Neurospora crassa OR74A: one gene and its partners. Each later gene encodes a partner of the first gene's protein in a complex. Links are inferred from orthologs where the notes say so. Each region holds a gene or a part of one and is shown in the gene's direction. Other genes may lie near its edges. The genes, in order: NCU00505, NCU11251, NCU07832, NCU04606 and NCU09880.

Region 1 (3,199 bases):
CTACGGGCTTTGTCTGGTTGGGCTGCACATCCTCATCCGTCCCCTGCCTTCTGTCCCTCGTCATTTATAAAGGTTGTGAGGCCGTGACTAACCCTCTCTTCGACTGTAGTCATCCACTACGAACCATTGACTTTACTGCGAGTTTGTCTCTTCGTTTGTCCGCATCGCTTCCACGGCGCATCGTCCTGAACACGAATCGACAACAAGAATTTTCCTCTACACGACATACCTTCACGGTCAAACTTTTCAACGCCGACATAGCGCCAGCCTAATCTTCCCAATGACATCCTTCGTTACAAATCTCTGGGAGTCGATCTTCACTCCGGGGCCGACTCCCACCCTCCTTATCGCGACAAATGTCACATTTGCCGCTCTGCAAATTGTCCTGGCGTGCCTCCTCTTTGCGACATGGAGTATCCACTTCGTAATTCTCTCGGCTCTCTGCGGTGGACTCTGGGGATCCATCAACTGGTTCGCGGCGGAACTGAAGGTGCACCAAATCCAAGAAGAGGAAAAGGCGAGAAGAGCCAAAGAAGCAGCGCCAACTCCAGTCACATCGGAAGACAGCGAAACAGAAGTAGAGGCAGCTACATCGACAGCTAGCCTCACGAGGCAGGAGTCAATTGCAGAGGCGGTCAGCCATGAGGTTGAGCCTATCCAGCAGATTGGAGAACTGAAGCACAGAGTGGTTGAGGAGACACCGAGCCTGGGCACTAAGAGCGGCGTCAGCACGGAAGATGAGTGGGAGAAGGTTTCGGAGAACGAGAACGAAAAGGACAAGTGAATATCCTGGCGATTGAGCGGGGACCGACCACACGCAGAACGTACAAGCGAATGTCGTGTTAGCGAAGTTACCATGGCATCCTGTAAATAGTGTCATGGTCCGCTTTCGTGTTGGAGTTGAGCGACGATGGCATTTACACATCCACCCTGTTTTCGTTCTTCATTGGATGAAAGGAGAGGCAGTTGAAGGCTGTAAGCCCTATGTTCGTTTCATAGTCCTTATCCTGCCATGAGGCATCATGATCTGTGCAACTACAGCTATAGCTTCAGAGACAAAGTCATAGTAAACAACACCTTGTTGTTCGGCGTGGCAGTTAGCCAGCCCATCTTCGTGTACCCCAATTATCTGGTTGCTTCAACTCAGCACATGAACAGATCATGTGCAGGGCAGGCAATTTATGGATAGCTTGAAACCCATGACTTCCAGGGTTAGGGGCTTTCAAGCCGCCGTTTGCCTGTTCAGCTCGGCTCACGTGATTGAGCACGGGCTCTATCTTGGCGCGTAGCGACGGCAGGCTATCTGCTCCACCCTGACGCTTGGATGGTTGTGCAAGCGTCCAAGGAAGCTCGACAAGCCTTCTCCCGTCGCGACTGTTGATTGACAAAGTAACAAGCTGGTAATCGAGACCTTGTCACCACCAATTCCATACAACACATATTCGATTACGCGTTGTCCAAATAAGTCAAGATGAAGCTGGTCAGGTAAGATTTCTCCTTGCTTTCTGATACTTCGCTACATGTACCCGATACCCCATCCCACCCGACTTCATTCCTATTCTCTTGCACGACGCATGCTGAGCTTTGAGTCCTCGCCTTCAAGGCTGCCAGCCCGTGTTCGCGCGCGTCCATGCTGCTCTACTAGAAAAAGAACACCAAGGGCACCAGGCTGACGAAGTGGAATCCGTTACTTCAACACTGCAGATTTTTGATGAAATGCGCCAACGAGACGGTGACGATTGAGTTGAAGAACGGCACAATTGTACACGGCACTATCGCCTCGGTCACACCCCGCATGGACACTGCGCTTCGCAACGTCAAGATGACCCCCAAGGGCCAGGACGCTGTGGCTCTAGATGCCATGAACATTAGGTAAATCAACCCTTTCAACTAAGGGGGAGTGGCCCTTTTCAGTTTTCGAGGGCATCACTAACTATTGAAACCCTACAGGGGCTCGACCATCCGTTACTTCATACTCCCCGATTCTTTGCCGCTCGATACATTGCTAGTTGATGATTCCGTGAAGCCCAAGAACAAGGCGAGAAAGGAAGCGGACCGCAGCGCCGGCGGCAGAGGTGGCCGTGGTGGCCGTGGCAGAGGAAGGGGAATGGGTCGCGGCCGCGGTCGTGGCCGTGGCTAAGCGGATCTCGTTTCTTTGGGATCGGCCACGGCGTACGTCTCCCTGGACGACAGAAACGTGCGAATTAGATTTTTTTTCAAAGACGATACGATGCTATACTACGGTTAATGGTGGATTTTTTTCGGTTTTTTATGCCCCCTTCGGTCGACCGGCTTGACCGTCTTGGTAGGGAAGATCAAGGCCGGCCCGAAATAACGTCCGGTGGCGACGACACGACAAAATCGACGATGAGTGCGCTTCAGAAAATCGAGGAGCATATCCCAGATCTTCACTTGAGCGACACTCGAGATTCACCTCATTCGCATCGAGTGTTACACACATAAACACCACTCCCCCTCATCGGATCGGAGCAGAGGGCAAGCATTGGGATTTCGTTGCGGCGTTCTGGACAGGATAAAATCACTTTGCTAGCGGGAAGGGAGAGAGAGAAAGGCGCGCCCAACCGCCACCGGAATGAACTATTTTATGTATCACAAAACAGATAGACGGCGATATATGCCTACTGGAGAAGGCGGCACAATCAGCAACTCTCTATACCAAATTTCCCCCAGAATTTTCGAGCCTTGTACGTGACTGACCATCGTCCTTCCCCCTCTTCCACCCTCTTCAACAGCTTCCTCCCCATCCTCAACTCATCACCAGCATCTCATCCCTCCATTCACCTCCAAACCCTCACAATCTGCAACTTCTCCCAACCCGCCTGCCTCCCACTAGTCCCCACCGTCTCTGCCTTCCACTTCCCTTCACCACCCATCACCCTGATCCTCCCTTTGACCTCCTCCGGCTTATTCTGCGCACAAAGCAGAATATACGCCACCCCCCTCTCGCTCAACACCCCCGGCAAGGCCTCAATCAGTCTATCCGTCGTCTCCATCCCATCCCTCCCTCCAGCATACGTCAACTCCAAGAGATGTGAGTCTTCCTCAAACGTCGTTTTCTCCTTCAGTGCCTGCAACCCTGTCGGTGGCGGCGCAGGCAAGTCAGGCGTAGGGACGTAGGGCGGGTTGAAGACTAGGACATCTACCGATCCGGGACGAAAGGGGGAGACGAGGTCACCTT
Region 2 (3,868 bases), about 3.3 Mb from region 1:
CTCTGCGTCGCTGAGCGTCTGCGCGGTGTTCGGTGGTCAAACTGGGTCCTTGATGGCTTGGAATCGCACGCATCTGGTACTTGAAGAAGGAAGTGGAATTGTCGTCGACGGTCTTCTCGATATGCATTGAGGGTGGAAAGGCTCGATGAGATGTGGTTTTTACTGTCAAGAAGGAGAGAGAGAAAGAGAAAAAAAACAGAAAAGAGAAAAAAGAAGAGAGTTGTGACTGGGGGAGCGTGCGAAGAGAGAGGTCGACAATGGCAACAATGAAATGGAGTTCCGTGGGCAGCAGAAGTTAAAATAAAATGGAGCCCGGACTCTGCACCTGCAGTGAATTAGGATGGGCCTGGACCGGGTTTGTGACCTTGGGTATTACCTATGCACAATTTAGTACCCCTAGGGACTGGAATGCACTAGCCGGGCAGGGGGCCGCGTCCGCCTCACCCAAATATCCCGCCATTGAGCCAACCACGATAAAGAGAAAAGCGTTCACATCATGCGTCACGGTCTGGGCAGGCCGGGCAGGCCGGGCAGGCGAGCAACTGAAAGGGCGGAAAGACCAGCTGGATTGGTCTGGTGAACTTAAAGGAAAAGGAGGAATTGGCGGGCGTTCCATGTCCCAGGAGGAATTGGCGAGAGCACGTGAAAATCGGGTGAGAGACATCAGACATACGTCTCACCCGCATTAAAGGGAATGCACCATCGGCCATTTTCCAGGCTTTTTCCACACTAGCTTTCAACCTGAAAAAAGCCCCATGTTGCTCTCCATGTCCAGAAATGAACCTCCAATACCACACGGCAGGTGTCATGTGTGTATAGGTAGTGTAGTGTACCAAGGCCGCTGGATGCCGACCCCGATCTTCAGTTTTGACAAGTCTGGGGAATCCGAACAGCCGGGGCTCGATTGGCGGTCATTAAACCGCATTGATCGACGGGCTGGGAAGGGGGAACTGGCCGCACCGTTTGTGATCGCGCTTCCATGTCACCTCGGACCAAACCTACCGTGTGCGAAGTGGGTATTAACGAATGTTGACACCAACAAGGAATCTATCACATATCACATGAAACTTTGAAATTTCAAGTACCTCTTTGAATGATCGGTGAAAGCTTCATGGCGATTCGTTGGTTCACCTTAAGACGAGGTGCCCGTGGTGCTAGGACCGAGATGAGCGCATTCAGGTGGGACAGCTTGTTGAGGGTTAGGGTCGAAGATGCGCCGGAAATTTTAGTGGAGCTCCCGCAACAGCAACGGCGCCAGCATTGTAAACTTCCCTGTGATTGCATCACCTGCTATTTCACGACAGCAAGCAAAACATCGAGCCCTCACATCAAACGGTCCTTTAGCAACCACAAGCCGGACTCGAATCACCTGGCTTTACTCGCGTTCAAGTGTCCAGAAGATTTAGCAAACGAACAAACACCGAAAGTTTAGCACTATGCATCCGGCGCGTAGAGCCTACGTGGAGGAGGCCGAGCCTGAGGTAAGACCATGCTCTATATGCGCCCCTCGCATCATTGAAGGCACCTGCTCAACATTGCAAACAGAGCCCGGACTGACCCCCCCTGAAGCAGGATCGCGGAGGCATGGATCTAGACTCCGTCCGTAAGTCCCCAAAACTCTTGTATGGCTTCCAACCCATGACTGATTTGCGTGTTAGCCCTCGATCGCGACTACGACATCCCCGGTGCTGGGGCTGGTATTGCCCCAGAGAAGGCCTCCGTTCTTCTATCGCAGTTTGAACGAAAACGATTAGCGGCTTCGATTGCTGTTCCTACCGACGATGGCCGGGTACGAGCCAAATTGCGAGAGATGGGCGAGCCTGTCACCCTCTTCGGCGAGGGTCCGGCAGACAGACGCGACAGATTACGAGAACTCATGACACAACAAGCCGAAAAGGGAGGTCAGGAAAGTGCCGATGTGGAGATGCGGGACGCCGAAAACGAGGAAGATGAAGCCGGCGACCAAGAGGAGGAATTTTACACTACTGGAAGCCCGGAACTGCTCCAGGCCCGCATCGACATCGCTCACTACTCAATCCCGAGAGCTAAGAAGCGCATCGAGTTCCAGAAGAAGGAGTCCACCATCCCACTGCGGACACATGTCAAACACCGAAAAGAGATCAAGGAGAAGCTTCAAGGGTTTGAATTGCAAGGCAGTCAAACGGCAGGAGAGCGGCACATCAGCATGACAAGGATCTCGCCTGATGGAAACATGGTCGCAACTGGCAATTGGGGCGGACAGGTCAAACTCATCGAAATCCCAACCCTTGAGCCAAGGAAGACTTTGAGGGGCCACACCAACAAAGTCAGCGGCCTATGCTGGATGCCTGGAGCTACACTGCCGGAGCGCAATGTTTCTCCCGACACAGTCAATCTCGCTTCCGGAGGAGCGGAAGGCCAGATTCATCTCTGGTCTTTGAACCAAGACACGCCTTTGAGAACTCTCTCAGGACACTCGCAACGAGTATGTCGTGTAGAGTTCCATCCATCGGGCAAGTATCTGGCTTCTGCCTCAGAAGACACGTCATGGAGGATGTGGGATGTTGAAACCGGCACCGAGCTCCTTCTCCAGGAAGGTCACTCTCGCGGTGTATACGCTGTCAGTTATAACAGTGACGGATCGCTACTCGCTAGCGCGGGTTTGGACAGTATCGGAAGAATCTGGGATCTGCGGACAGGACGGACTGCCATGATTCTAGATGGGCATCAGGACGGCCATATCAAGCCTATTTATGGTTTGGACTGGGGCTCGGACGGTTACAGGGTGCTCACGGCGTCTGCTGATGGTTGGATCAAATGCTGGGACGTTAGAAAAGTGGAAAGAATTGGAGGCATTGGTGCCCATACAAGTGCAGTGGCCGACGTGCGGTGGTTCAAGGGGTTGGATGACCCGTTGGAAGGAGTGCCTCCTGGCGAAGATGAAAAGGGAATGCAAATTCCCAAAAAATCCGGCACCTTTATGGTGTCGGCAGGCTTTGACCACAAGGTGAACATATTTTCCGCTGACGACTGGGCCTTGGTTCAGTCTCTCAGCGGCCACACAGGGCCTGTTGCGAGTGTTGACGTTAGCCGGGATGGAAAATGGATTGTAAGCGGTGGCCATGACCGGACGGTCAAACTTTGGGGAAGAAACGACTCCAGGAGCTTGTATGATTCCTGAGCAGACATCAATCATGTGCGCGACAAGAATCTTGTCGTTGCCTCTCGCATAGGAGCAACACACCAAGGAGGGCGTTCAGCAAGCGACAGGCCAGGGCTTGGCTTACCGCTCCACGAGAGACAGTATCGGCAGATAGATTGCATAGAAGCCGTCTCAATTTGTAGATCAACAACCACAACTGGGTGCCCATAACAAGCTGCCTTTGGTACATGCGTCTGAGTTGCCTTGTGGTTGCGTTTCACTGACCCGGTAAGGATAAGGGGTGTCACCTGACCGCGAAAGTGGGCCTGTTGAGATTCCTTCTCCCTTCTTTTCTGCAGTGACGCGGGCAGGGTTGGGCGGGACACCTGCCGCTCGCGTTGGTTGGCGTTGGTAAAGTCACCCTGGCACCCTGGGAAATGGTGACGCACGGTCCATCGTGCGAAGCTTGGCTTTCTGATAAAGGGCGATAAAACAATGGCAGCAGACGCCATCACCGGGAACTTGTAGCGTTGGTCCGTTTTCGAACCTTTGACTTCTTCGTTTCTCGCATTTCTGCATTTTCAAGTGGTTTTATCCCCAGCCGGTATTTATCGCGAGAGACGTCATTCACAATACCCTCAACTCACAGCATCCGGGCAGCTCAAGTCCCCATGCGCATCAACCCGCTCAAAGCTGTCTGAAGGGCGACACGGGGAGGATTCGCTTATTTGGGAACCAGCCAGAACA
Region 3 (2,766 bases), on another chromosome or scaffold:
CCTACGTCTCTTCTGAGGAGGCTGTTGCCATTTACACTACTACGGTGCACTGGCTTGAATCGAGAAAATTCTCTCCCATCCCCTTCCCCAGTGTGTCTTACAAGCATGACACCAAGATCCTTATCTTGGCGCTGGAGCGCCTACGTGAGGCTTACTCGACCAAGGGAAGATTGAACCAGAGTCAGCGTGAGGAGTTGGCCTTGATTGAGCAGGCATATGACAGTCCAGGCACTACCCTCGAGCGTATCAAACGCTTCCTACTCACTCAAAGAGCTTTCAAGGAAGTCGGCATCGATATGAACGACAACTACAGCACCATCAACCCGGTCTATGATATTGAACCGATCGAGAAGATTAGCGATGCTTATCTCGACCAGTACTTGTGGTATCAAGCTGACCAGCGCCATCTGTTCCCCGCTTGGATTAAGCCTTCCGATTCGGAGGTGCCACCTTTGCTTGTGTACAAGTGGGCTCAAGGCATTAACAACCTCGACAGGGTTTGGGAGACCGCGAATGGCGAGTGCAATGTCATGATCGAGACGCAGCTCTCCAAGGTCTACGAGAAGATTGAGCTGACCTTGCTCAACTCGCTTCTTCGGTTGATAATGGACCACAACCTTGCGGACTACATCACGGCCAAGAATAACGTTACCCTAACTTACAAGGACATGAACCATGTCAACAGCTATGGTATGATTCGTGGCCTGCAGTTCTCAGCCTTCGTTTTCCAGTACTATGGTCTCATTCTCGATTTGCTGTTGCTTGGCCCGCAGCGTGCCAGCGAGATTGCCGGTCCTCCCCACGCACCCAATGACTTCCTTCAGTTCAAGGACCGGGAGACTGAAACAAGACACCCGATTAGGTTGTACACCAGGTACATCGACAAGATCTGGGTGTTCTTGAGGTTCACCGCGGATGAATCTCGCGACCTGATCCAGCGATTCTTGACAGAGCAGCCTGATCCCAACTTCGAGAACGTGATTGGTTACAAGAGCAAGAAGTGCTGGCCCAGAGATTCGCGTATGCGTCTCATGAGGCACGACGTCAACCTCGGCAGAGCTGTGTTCTGGGATCTCAAGAACCGCCTCCCAAGATCCGTGACGACGATTGAATGGGAAGACACCTTCGCCAGCGTGTACAGCAGGGATAACCCGAACCTCCTGTTCTCCATGTGCGGCTTCGAAGTGCGCATCTTGCCCAAGATCCGCAACCAGAACGATGAGTTCCCTGTGAAAGACAGTGTCTGGTCACTAGTGGACAACACGACCAAGGAACGCACCGCTCACGCTTTCCTACAAGTTACCGAAGAGGACATTCAGAAATTCAATAACAGGATCCGTCAGATTCTCATGTCGTCTGGCTCGACCACATTCACCAAGATTGCTAACAAGTGGAACACGGCGCTGATTGCCCTCTTTACTTACTACCGCGAGGCTGCTGTTTCGACCGTGAACCTGCTTGACACGATTGTCAAGTGTGAAACCAAAATCCAGACTCGTGTCAAAATTGGTCTCAACTCCAAGATGCCTTCCCGTTTCCCTCCTGCCGTTTTCTACACTCCCAAGGAGCTTGGTGGCTTGGGTATGATTTCCGGATCACACATCCTTATCCCTACTAGCGACAAGCGCTGGTCTAAACAGACAGATCTCGGAGTTACTCATTACCGTGCGGGCATGTCGCACGATGAGGAAACGCTGATCCCCAACATCTTCCGCTACATCATCCCGTGGGAAGCTGAGTTTATCGACTCCCAGCGTGTGTGGACGGAATACTCGCAGAAGCGTCTCGAGGCCAACCAGCAGAACCGCAGATTGACCCTAGAGGATCTGGAGGACAGCTGGGATCGCGGTCTGCCCCGTATAAACACTCTTTTTCAAAAGGACCGTAGCACGTTAAGCTTCGACAAGGGTTTCCGTGCCCGTTCCGAGTTCAAGATCTATCAGTTGATGAAGAGCAATCCCTTCTGGTGGACAAGCCAGAGGCATGACGGTAAACTTTGGAACCTTAACGCATACCGTACCGATGTCATCCAGGCGCTTGGTGGTGTCGAAACCATCTTGGAGCATACCTTGTTCAAGGCAACTGGTTTCCCGTCTTGGGAAGGTCTCTTCTGGGAGAAGGCCAGTGGTTTCGAGGAGTCGATGAAGTTCAAGAAGTTGACAAATGCCCAGAGGAGCGGTAAGTTCAACATACCATTTCTCTAGCATGAATTCATCATCATATGCACGCACAAATACTGACTTTGAAATACGCAGGTCTCAACCAGATTCCTAATCGTCGTTTCACGCTTTGGTGGTCGCCTACCATCAACAGAGCCAATGTCTACGTCGGTTTCCAAGTGCAGTTGGATCTAACTGGTATCTTCTTGCACGGCAAGATTCCTACTCTCAAGATCTCCCTGATCCAGATCTTCCGAGCTCATCTGTGGCAGAAGATCCACGAGTCAGTGGTCATGGATCTTTGCCAGGTCTTCGATCAGGAGCTTGAGGCTCTAAGCATCGAATCGGTTCAAAAGGAAACCATTCATCCCAGAAAATCTTACAAGATGAACAGCTCCTGCGCGGATATCCAGCTCTTTGCCAGCCACAAATGGAACGTTACTCGCCCATCGCTCCTTTTCGATACCAAGGATGTCATCGAGTCTACTACGACGAACAAGTTTTGGATTGATGTTCAGCTTCGCTATGGTGACTACGACTCTCACGATATTGAGAGATACGTCAGGGCCAAGTATCTGGACTACACCACCGACAGCATGAGTCTTTA
Region 4 (4,198 bases), on another chromosome or scaffold:
TTGCTTGGACCCAGAAGAATATCACGGCCGCTTGGGCAAAGGCAAGCCCCATCAACGCGTTTGCAAGAGTCGATGTGTACGCCAACAAAACACCGGGTTGTCTGAGCCCGGACCAGTTCTTTTCCGAACCACCATCGCTCTCGAGAACGACTCCTATAGCAATTCCTGTACCTAGTCCTTGCAGTTAGCATTGTCGGTACTTGGTCACAGCCTCAGTGTTGTGGTGAACGTAGGAACGAGTACTCACAGCTTATACAAAAGATCAGCGGAATTATCCCAAACCAGGGAAAACGTCTGAAGCCGCCTGGTTTCCAAGAGATCTTACCTGCGGAGTCATTTGATGAGTGTTTGATATGAGAAGACATCGGGTTTTTGATCAGCGGCTCCATGACTATCACATCAAGCTCTCCTGTGATGGACGAGCAAGAAGGTCTGGACCGAATATGTGAGTGGTAGTAAAGGGTGAAGAAGCGAGCTAGATGCCCATACTTATGAGATTTAGTCAACAGGAGGGTCTCGAAATTGCACATTGGTGGTTCGAGTGGGCGGCGCTGGAGTAGCTTTCCTTCAGTCGCCATGAGTGCTTTGAGACAGTGTATGCAGATTGGAAGCACCTTGTGTACAGACGTTCAAGTTGTGCGAACTCGGATCCCGCTGTATACTCAATCAGGGACGTGGTACTGAATAAATATACCTAGGTAGACGGCCGGCAAGGAGCTAAACCCAGCCTAAATTCATTGCAGAATAAAAAGGCATAGGCTCAGTCATCGTGTGCCGTTGTACAGCATGTTTATTGTAAACAGGAAAACCTGTGTTACGAAGTCTCGGTGAGGGAGTATATTCGCCTTGCATGGTGCCGCCTTTGCGGTTAACCTGACCGTGAAGGTTGAATGGTGCGAGGCATAAATGCTGTAGTTGCCGCACCTGCACAGAAAGAATTTAAATGGGAGGTTGAAGTTGGACATTGTTGGCTAGGCTGATCGCAGGCATTGCCATAGATGAATAATGCATTTCCCTTAGTGATGCTGCAACACGAAGAGCAGACGAGCATCTGGGTGAAGTTGTCCCACTTCACGCCTCACTGAGCCAGGCCATTTCAGTTGCCGACGGCAGGAGCGCTGAAATATCGTCATAGTTGTCTTCTATGGCCATCATGGCTCCGCTGACTGGTGATGGTGAAGACGGGAAAGGAGGTAGATGAATGATAGGAGGAAGTAAACAACGAAAGTGGAATTAAGCCGCCAAGCACTGGTGGAGTCGTAGACTGTTTACTTGGCACTGTGCCTGCCATTCGTTCGTCAAATGCCAAGAGCGCCTGGACCAGTGGCAGGCAGGCTTCAGTGCCCTGGAGTTCGACTTCCACTTCGACTTGCAGCCTGCCGGTATTTTGCCGCTAACTCAAATGTTTGGAGCTACCTCTACGGCCACCACGGTCACAATCCTAGCCACCGCGTCTCTACAATACATCACGAATACAGAAAACCGCCACCATGTCTAGACGGGATTTCCTCAGTCAACCCGCACCCGAGAACTACGTCGCCGGTCTCGGTCGTGGTGCCACGGGTTTCACTACACGATCCGATCTTGGTCCCGCGCGCGAGGGTCCTAGTGAAGACCAGATCAAGGCGGCCGTCGCGAAGAGATCTGCACAGCTAGGTCTGACCGAGGCCAAGGACGACGACAATGAAGACGATGGCCGCTATCAGGATCCCGACAACGAAGTCGGCTTGTTCGCCGGCGGCATATACGAGAAGGACGACGAGGAGGCAGATCGGATATGGAAAGAGGTAGACGACAGGATGGCGAAGCGGCGACAGAAGCAAAGGTTAGTCATTACCTCGTATACATCACTTGACATCCTACATAAATTCACAAAACACCCTTCTACCCCTTCCCCAACACTTTCAAGCAAGCATGTGGTTTATCGGTCAAGATAGATGAAAAGCAGAGTACCGACAAGAAATCGCATTTTCACAGGGAAGCACGAGAAGAAGCCGAACGATTAGAGTACGAACGAAAGAACCCCAAAATCCAACAGCAATTCGCCGGCCTCAAACGAGCGCTCGAGACGGTCACCGACGAAGAATGGGCAAACCTACCAGATCCCAAGGACCTTACCGGCAGGACCAAGAGGGCACGCCAGGCTCGCATGGAGCGCTTCTACGCCGTTCCCGACAGTGTCCTCGCTGCCGCGCGAGATTCCGGCCAGTTCGGTACCACCGTTGCAGAAGACGGCACCGCCACCGAAGGGGTCAACAAGGATGGCACAGTTACAGATTTCGCAAAGATCGGTGCGGCTCGCGACAAGGTGCTGAGGGCGCGCTTGGAACAGCAATCACAGTCGAGTAGCGTGGCCACGGCGGGAAGCGCGACGAGTATCGACCCCAAGGGCTACCTGACATCGCTGTCGAGCATGCAGGGTGCGGAACAAAGCATTGGAGACATTGAGCAGTTCAGGAAGATGCTCAAGTCGGCTGTCGACTCGAACCCCAAACAGGCAGCCAGTTGGATTGCTGCAGCGAGATTGGAAATCGCGGCGGGAAAGCCTGGTGCTGCCCGCAGCTTGATTGCCAAGGGCTGCGAACACTGCCCGAAGAGCGAGGATATTTGGCTGGAAAACATTCATTTGAACGACAACCGGAACGCCAAGGTCATTGCGGCACAGGCTATTCAAGCCAACCCACACTCGGTCAAGCTTTGGGTGGAAGCGATGAAGCTGGAAAACGACCCTAGATCAAAGAAGAAGGTTATCCGGAGAGCTCTCGATCATAACCAAGAGTCCGAGGCGCTATGGAAGGAGGCTGTCAACCTCGAGGAGGACGTCGAAGACGCCCGCATTCTACTAGCCAAGGCGACGGAGCTTATCCCGGAGTCGCTCGACCTCTGGTTGGCACTGGCCCGTCTCGAGACTCCCGAAAACGCCCGCAAGGTTCTCAACAAGGCCGTCAAGAAGCTTCCCAACTCGCACGAACTCTGGATCGCCGCCGCTCGCCTGGAAGAACAACTAGGCGAAGGCAAGAAGCGGCCCGTGATGAAGAACGCCGTCAAGTTCCTCGCCAAGCAGAACGCCATGCCCAAGCGCGAGGAATGGATCGCCGAAGCAGAAAAGTGCGAAGAGGAAGGCGCCGTCATCACTTGCAGCAACATCATCGAAGAGACGCTTGGCTGGGGTCTCGACGAGGACGATGACCGCAAGGAGCTCTGGATGGAAGACGCGCGCGCCTCCATCAACCGGGACAAGTTCGCCACAGCGCGCGCCATCTACGCCTACGCCATCCGCGTCTTCCCCAACAGCAAATCGCTCTACACGGCCGCCATCGACCTGGAGCGCAACCACGGCAGCAAGGAAGACCTCTGGCACGCGCTCGAAAAGGCCGTCGAGGCCTGTCCGCACTACGAAGTCTTCTGGCTCATGCTCGCGCGCGAGAAAGCCGCCGAGGCGGGCGTCGACGAGGCACGCCTCGTCCTTGCCCGCGCCTTCAAGCAGAACCCGGACAGCGAGGACATCTGGCTGGCGGCCGTCAAGCTCGAAGCCGACAACGGTTTCATCGACAAAGCCCGCGAACTCCTCAAGACCGCGCGCCAGAATGCGCCCACCGATCGCGTGTGGATGCGCTCCGTGGCGTTTGAGCGTCAACAAGGCGTCAACGAGGCCGCTTTGGATCTCGTCCAACAGGCCCTACAGCTCTTCCCTTCCAAGCCCAAACTCTGGATGATGAAGGGCCAAATCTACGAAGACCTCGGCCAACTTGGTCCTGCGCGGGAAGCCTACAGCACCGGCGTGCGCGCCGTCCCTTCGTCCATCCCGCTCTGGCTTCTGTACTCTCGTTTAGAAGAAAAGGCCAACAATGTCGTCAAGGCGCGCTCGGTCCTCGACCGCGCCCGACAAGCCGTGCCCAAGTCCCCGGAGCTATGGACGGAACTCATCCGCGTCGAGCGGCGCGCGGGCAACTTGAACCAGGCCAAGTCGCTCATGGCGCAAGCGTTACAGCAGATGCCCAAATCGGGCTTGCTGTGGGCGGAAAGGATCCTCAACCTCGAGCCGCGCACGCAGCGGAAATCGCTGCTTGCCGAGGCGGTGAAAAAGGTGGAAGACGATCCGATCCTGCTGGTCACGGCCGCGAGAATTCTGTGGGCGGAAAGGAAGCTGGACCGGGCGCAGAACTGGTTCGAGAAGGCGCTGTTGCTGGATCGCGAT
Region 5 (3,847 bases), about 1.8 Mb from region 1:
AGTCACGAACTCGTCGTAGCCTTCACCTAGGTCTTCGTCTTCGGCTATGAGGCGCGATTCGGATTTCTTGGCCTTTTTGTTGAGACTCAACGTGATGCGTTTTCGGTCGTCGTTGTCGGAGTGGTCACTATCGTCGAGTGCGATGAAATCGTGTTCCTTGGCAAGGCGCGCGCGCCGCTCTTTGCGCTCGCGGATCTCGGCTTCGGTGAGGACATGGGCTGCTGGGGCATCGCCAGTGAGCGCTAGGGGCATGTCGCGGGATTGAACAATCATGGCGCCGTCAAGCTCAGAGGGGTCGAGGTCCATGGCGTCGCCCGTTGTCCCGGGCGCGGCAGATGCCTCCGGCAACGGTGCGCTGTGGGTTTTGAGGCTGTCGTCGTCATCGTCGTCGATGATGCTTAGCGAGGCGAGATTCTGTGGTGTGGCTGGCGTGGAGCTTTGGAGTTCTTCAAGGTATTCTTTGCTGTACCGAGGCTTCTCTTCGTCGGCGCCAAATGTGCCGAATCGTGCGGTCAGGGCGGACTTGCGAAGCGCGTTCTTCTCGGCAACTCGTTGGCTCAGCGACTTTTTGCTTGGGGCGCTGACCACGTCGCTGCTGGCAGTTGTTGTCGTATCATTGCCGCCATCTTCCGTGTCGCCCTCGCTGGCTCCGAATGATAGTTTTGAGATGCGCTTCTTCTTGCTGGAGACTGAGCGGCCGAAACCGGGCCGTACTACGAGCGGCACACCAGTGTCCTCCTCGGCTTCTGTTACCTCGGGTGCCGTACTTGTGCTGGTTGACGTAGGTTGGATTGCGTCGCCGCTGGTTTCTTGTGGATTATCGTTACCGTCGTTGATCTTGATCGTTCTTCGTAGTGACGAAGATTTAGTAGGCTTGCTGCGCCCAAACTTGGTCGGTCCTTGCGGTACTGGTTCTGTTCGAAGGCGTATCAGCTTGCTTGTTCTTTGGTTTGGTATCAGCACTGAGATTTTCTATGCTGGAAAGGGATGGGCATGGCCATATAGCAACTTACGTTCGTTCTTCGGCTCCTCTCCTCCAAGCACCGTAGGAAGGTCGCCATCCTCATCGTCAAAGGTCTGGATAATGCGTGGCTTGCGCTTTCCAAAAGAGCTCATTTTTGTGATGATCGACTTGAGTAAAGTGTAGAATGGAAGTAGGTTGTCTGACAGGGAGTTTGTAATACAGTGATGTAGTATTGAGGCGGGCGTGTTGTTTACAGGTAAGTTTGTAGTGCAAAAAGGTGTCCAGACAGCTAGGAAGCTTCGAAATGCACCCTGGAGAATGACGCTGGTGGGCGACTGGATGTCACCACTGCACTGAACACTGCAATCACCCAAAGACGGGCAACGCGAATTGCGGTTTCTTATCTTATCAGTGTCCCCACGTGATGGCCTGGCGGCCGAAAATCACTGGGGATGGTCGCGATTGCACGCGCTGCACAAGGCCCGCCTTCCAGGTTGTTTCAGTGGAGAGTTCCCAGCCAGAACGACGCCATTGCCATTCATTGCAGCAACTCTCTCGAGACCATCCCAGACAACCAACACAACCTCAAGATACAATGGCGCCCGCACAACCTGAACTGAAGAAGGTAAGAACTTACTCTTGGAGAATTGCCTTTCACGCTGAATGGCAGCTGGCTGGTCGAGACTATGCCATTGTCGCATCTCGAACTCCATGTTATTGTTTGTTTAGTATGGTGTAGTGAGCTAACCGACCACTTTCCAACCAGTACCTCGACAAGAGGCTCTTCGTCCAACTCAACGGCAGCCGCAAGGTCATTGGTGTTCTCCGTGGCTACGATGTACGAGATCTCCCCTTTACGAATTCGAACATGATGATTGACGGTTCGCGACGTCATAGGTCTTCTTGAACATTGTTTTGGACGATGCTGTTGAGGAGAAGGATGGTGGTGAGAAGGTCAAGCTTGGCATGGTGGTATGTTTATCATTGTAGAAAGGTGCTGACGTGTCTCCTGCTGACGAATGTGCACACAGACCATTCGTGGTAACTCCGTTGTGATGATGGAGGCTCTCGAGAGAATCGGCGGCGATGAGAGGGGAGGACAGCGCGGCTAATCAACAATCATCTTCTCGCAACACGATAAAACGACCCTGCGCATCTACAAACGCCTACATCAAAAGGCGAGGCATCGGAATAAGCGGATGGCAATTGACGGGATTTGACTATATACCAAGGCGATTTACACTTTACGACGACATCTACAGTGTTCCACGCGGTCTTGGACGGTGAAAAGCTAGGTGGGTTGGCTGGTACGGCGTTCAGTTTCACACGAGGCATGTATTCGGGAAAGCTGCATTATCTTCAACTTAGAAAGGGAAACATCTGCGGCGGTGGTCGAAGAAAAGATACCCAAAGGATTTTTTTGTTTTTCATCACGTACAGCTCTTCTCCGACAACAGCTGCTTCCACGTCTTCTCGTCATAACCGTCCACCATGCGGTCGCCGTACATCCGCACCCAGCCTCGAATCCCGCCCGTCATGACCTGCGACTGAAGATCGCCGCCTACTTCGTTGATATAGTCTTGCATCCAGGCGGCACATCGAGGGCCCCGACCAGCGGAGGAGCCTGGGGGAAGAAGCATCGGTGTTAGAGAGGGTCGGCGGTAGAGGTACGAGTTCAAAAGAGCATAGGATTGATTGGACTCTGTCCCAAGAGTCAATGACAGAGAAAGTCAAACACGTACCACAATAGAAGACCACCTTTTGGATCCCGGCCTGTTTGCACAAAGCGTACAAGCTCTTGCGCGTGGGGAAGAAGCTGTGGGCGGGCAGGTTGATTGATGAGCTGACAGTTCCCCCGGCGCAGTCTGTCCGGCGACAATCGACAAGCAGCAATCTGCGCGATTGGGGCATGTCATCGACATGTTCTTGCTGCTCAAGAAGCTCGAGGACAGTCTGGGGCTCGATATGGACCGGCGTCGAAGTTGGCTCTGGAAATGCTGCCCACCACGGTGTACCATCCTCGCGCCTAGCCATGCGCAAGCAGTGTTCGTGAACGTGTATCGTCATGTTGAGGCCGTTGCTGAGTTGGTTTCTCATTGACTGATTTCTTAGGTTAAGCGGAAGAAATGTACCGTTGATGCATTGTCCGGTATATGAAGGGCAGTCAGGGGTAAACTCTTTGTTTGCCACACTGGATTGGGGCGGCTCTGAGATCTAGTCACATCTTTCAGCAAGCCACGCCGCCAATACTCATCTCGCGGGACATGTCCTCGGCAGTCACGTCCTATCATAAATCACTTGTCTCGTACGATCGGATCCTCTGATGCCGTAGATGGGATACCGCATCCGGAGGTAGTCCTTCCTATCCTATTACTCCATGGAGTTTTTCAGGAGATCGCGGCTAAGGGGGGACGACAAGATGATTTCTTCACCAGCTCATCAACGCGACATACTGCCTGGTCTCGTCGCTTCTATGCAATTTAGTAACCATGAGCATGTTATTTTTCTTATTACCCATATTCATGCCCCTCGCCATTTACCCGTAGATAACTGATAGCTCCGACATCTTGGTTTACTCGGCCCGGCATATAGGGGGATATCACATAACGAATTGTTGAGGTGTGTAAGTTGCAGCACCAGGACACCTGCGACAAAGCGCACCAATCAATATACATGTCGTTGTATGGAAGATTGATAAAAGGTTAAACCACGGCGTTTATAAGGTATACAGTAGCAAGACGCTCCCTCCAACAGCCCAGCGACACCTGAGAGCTATTCTGATTTATACGTCACGGCGTAACTTCCACCAAAGAATGCCCACATCTCCCAAATCAGTCTGTGCTCGCTTCGTTGTTCCATTCATTCATCATAGTACTCCTCCTC

The links.
Region 2: NCU00505 (region 1) and NCU11251 share a complex: the UniProt entries of both Saccharomyces cerevisiae proteins name them as parts of the U4/U6-U5 tri-snRNP complex. The link is inferred for Neurospora crassa OR74A from reciprocal best matches to the Saccharomyces cerevisiae genes SMD1 and PRP4.
Region 3: NCU00505 (region 1) and NCU07832 share a complex: the UniProt entries of both Saccharomyces cerevisiae proteins name them as parts of the U4/U6-U5 tri-snRNP complex. The link is inferred for Neurospora crassa OR74A from reciprocal best matches to the Saccharomyces cerevisiae genes SMD1 and PRP8.
Region 4: NCU00505 (region 1) and NCU04606 share a complex: the UniProt entries of both Saccharomyces cerevisiae proteins name them as parts of the U4/U6-U5 tri-snRNP complex. The link is inferred for Neurospora crassa OR74A from reciprocal best matches to the Saccharomyces cerevisiae genes SMD1 and PRP6.
Region 5: NCU00505 (region 1) and NCU09880 share a complex: the UniProt entries of both Saccharomyces cerevisiae proteins name them as parts of the sm core complex. The link is inferred for Neurospora crassa OR74A from reciprocal best matches to the Saccharomyces cerevisiae genes SMD1 and SMX2.

The regions. Positions count from the first base shown.
Region 1 is NC_026501.1:8,193,163-8,196,361, forward strand, and holds NCU00505 (small nuclear ribonucleoprotein Sm D1), read left to right. Parts: upstream 1-1,344; 5' UTR 1,345-1,471; coding exon 1,472-1,485; intron 1,486-1,603; exon of another isoform or gene 1,604-1,704; coding exon 1,705-1,872; intron 1,873-1,950; coding exon 1,951-2,140; 3' UTR 2,141-2,690; downstream 2,691-3,199. Other genes in the region: pkr1 (ER membrane protein), read left to right, coding at 281-784; NCU00504 (hypothetical protein), read right to left, coding at 2,799-3,199. UniProt on the Saccharomyces cerevisiae protein: lays a role in pre-mRNA splicing as a core component of the spliceosomal U1, U2, U4 and U5 small nuclear ribonucleoproteins (snRNPs), the building blocks of the spliceosome. Also binds telomerase RNA and is required for its accumulation.
Region 2 is NC_026501.1:4,871,896-4,875,763, reverse strand, and holds NCU11251 (pre-mRNA splicing factor), read left to right. Parts: upstream 1-1,279; 5' UTR 1,280-1,436; coding exon 1,437-1,481; intron 1,482-1,545; exon of another isoform or gene 1,546-1,569; coding exon 1,570-1,603; intron 1,604-1,658; coding exon 1,659-3,160; 3' UTR 3,161-3,356; downstream 3,357-3,868. UniProt on the Saccharomyces cerevisiae protein: Involved in RNA splicing. Is required for the association of U4/U6 snRNP with U5 snRNP in an early step of spliceosome assembly.
Region 3 is NC_026503.1:1,010,077-1,012,842, forward strand, and holds part of NCU07832 (pre-mRNA processing splicing factor 8), read left to right. Parts: coding exon 1-2,178; intron 2,179-2,255; coding exon 2,256-2,766. UniProt on the Saccharomyces cerevisiae protein: Functions as a scaffold that mediates the ordered assembly of spliceosomal proteins and snRNAs. Required for association of BRR2 with the spliceosomal U5 snRNP, and the subsequent assembly of the U4/U6-U5 tri-snRNP complex.
Region 4 is NC_026505.1:1,527,870-1,532,067, forward strand, and holds the start of NCU04606 (pre-mRNA splicing factor), read left to right. Parts: upstream 1-1,397; 5' UTR 1,398-1,490; coding exon 1,491-1,825; intron 1,826-1,937; exon of another isoform or gene 1,938-1,977; coding exon 1,978-4,198. UniProt on the Saccharomyces cerevisiae protein: Participates in pre-mRNA splicing. Part of the U4/U5/U6 tri-snRNP complex, one of the building blocks of the spliceosome.
Region 5 is NC_026501.1:6,357,864-6,361,710, reverse strand, and holds NCU09880 (small nuclear ribonucleoprotein SmG), read left to right. Parts: upstream 1-1,445; 5' UTR 1,446-1,559; coding exon 1,560-1,589; intron 1,590-1,730; coding exon 1,731-1,802; intron 1,803-1,861; coding exon 1,862-1,936; intron 1,937-1,995; coding exon 1,996-2,076; 3' UTR 2,077-2,394; coding exon of another isoform or gene 2,395-2,588; 3' UTR 2,589-2,706; coding exon of another isoform or gene 2,707-3,031; 3' UTR 3,032-3,335; downstream 3,336-3,847. Other genes in the region: NCU09879 (hypothetical protein), read right to left, coding at 1-914, 1,014-1,116; NCU10125 (hypothetical protein), read right to left, coding at 2,395-2,588, 2,707-3,031; NCU09881 (hypothetical protein), read right to left, coding at 3,824-3,847. UniProt on the Saccharomyces cerevisiae protein: Plays a role in pre-mRNA splicing as a core component of the spliceosomal U1, U2, U4 and U5 small nuclear ribonucleoproteins (snRNPs), the building blocks of the spliceosome.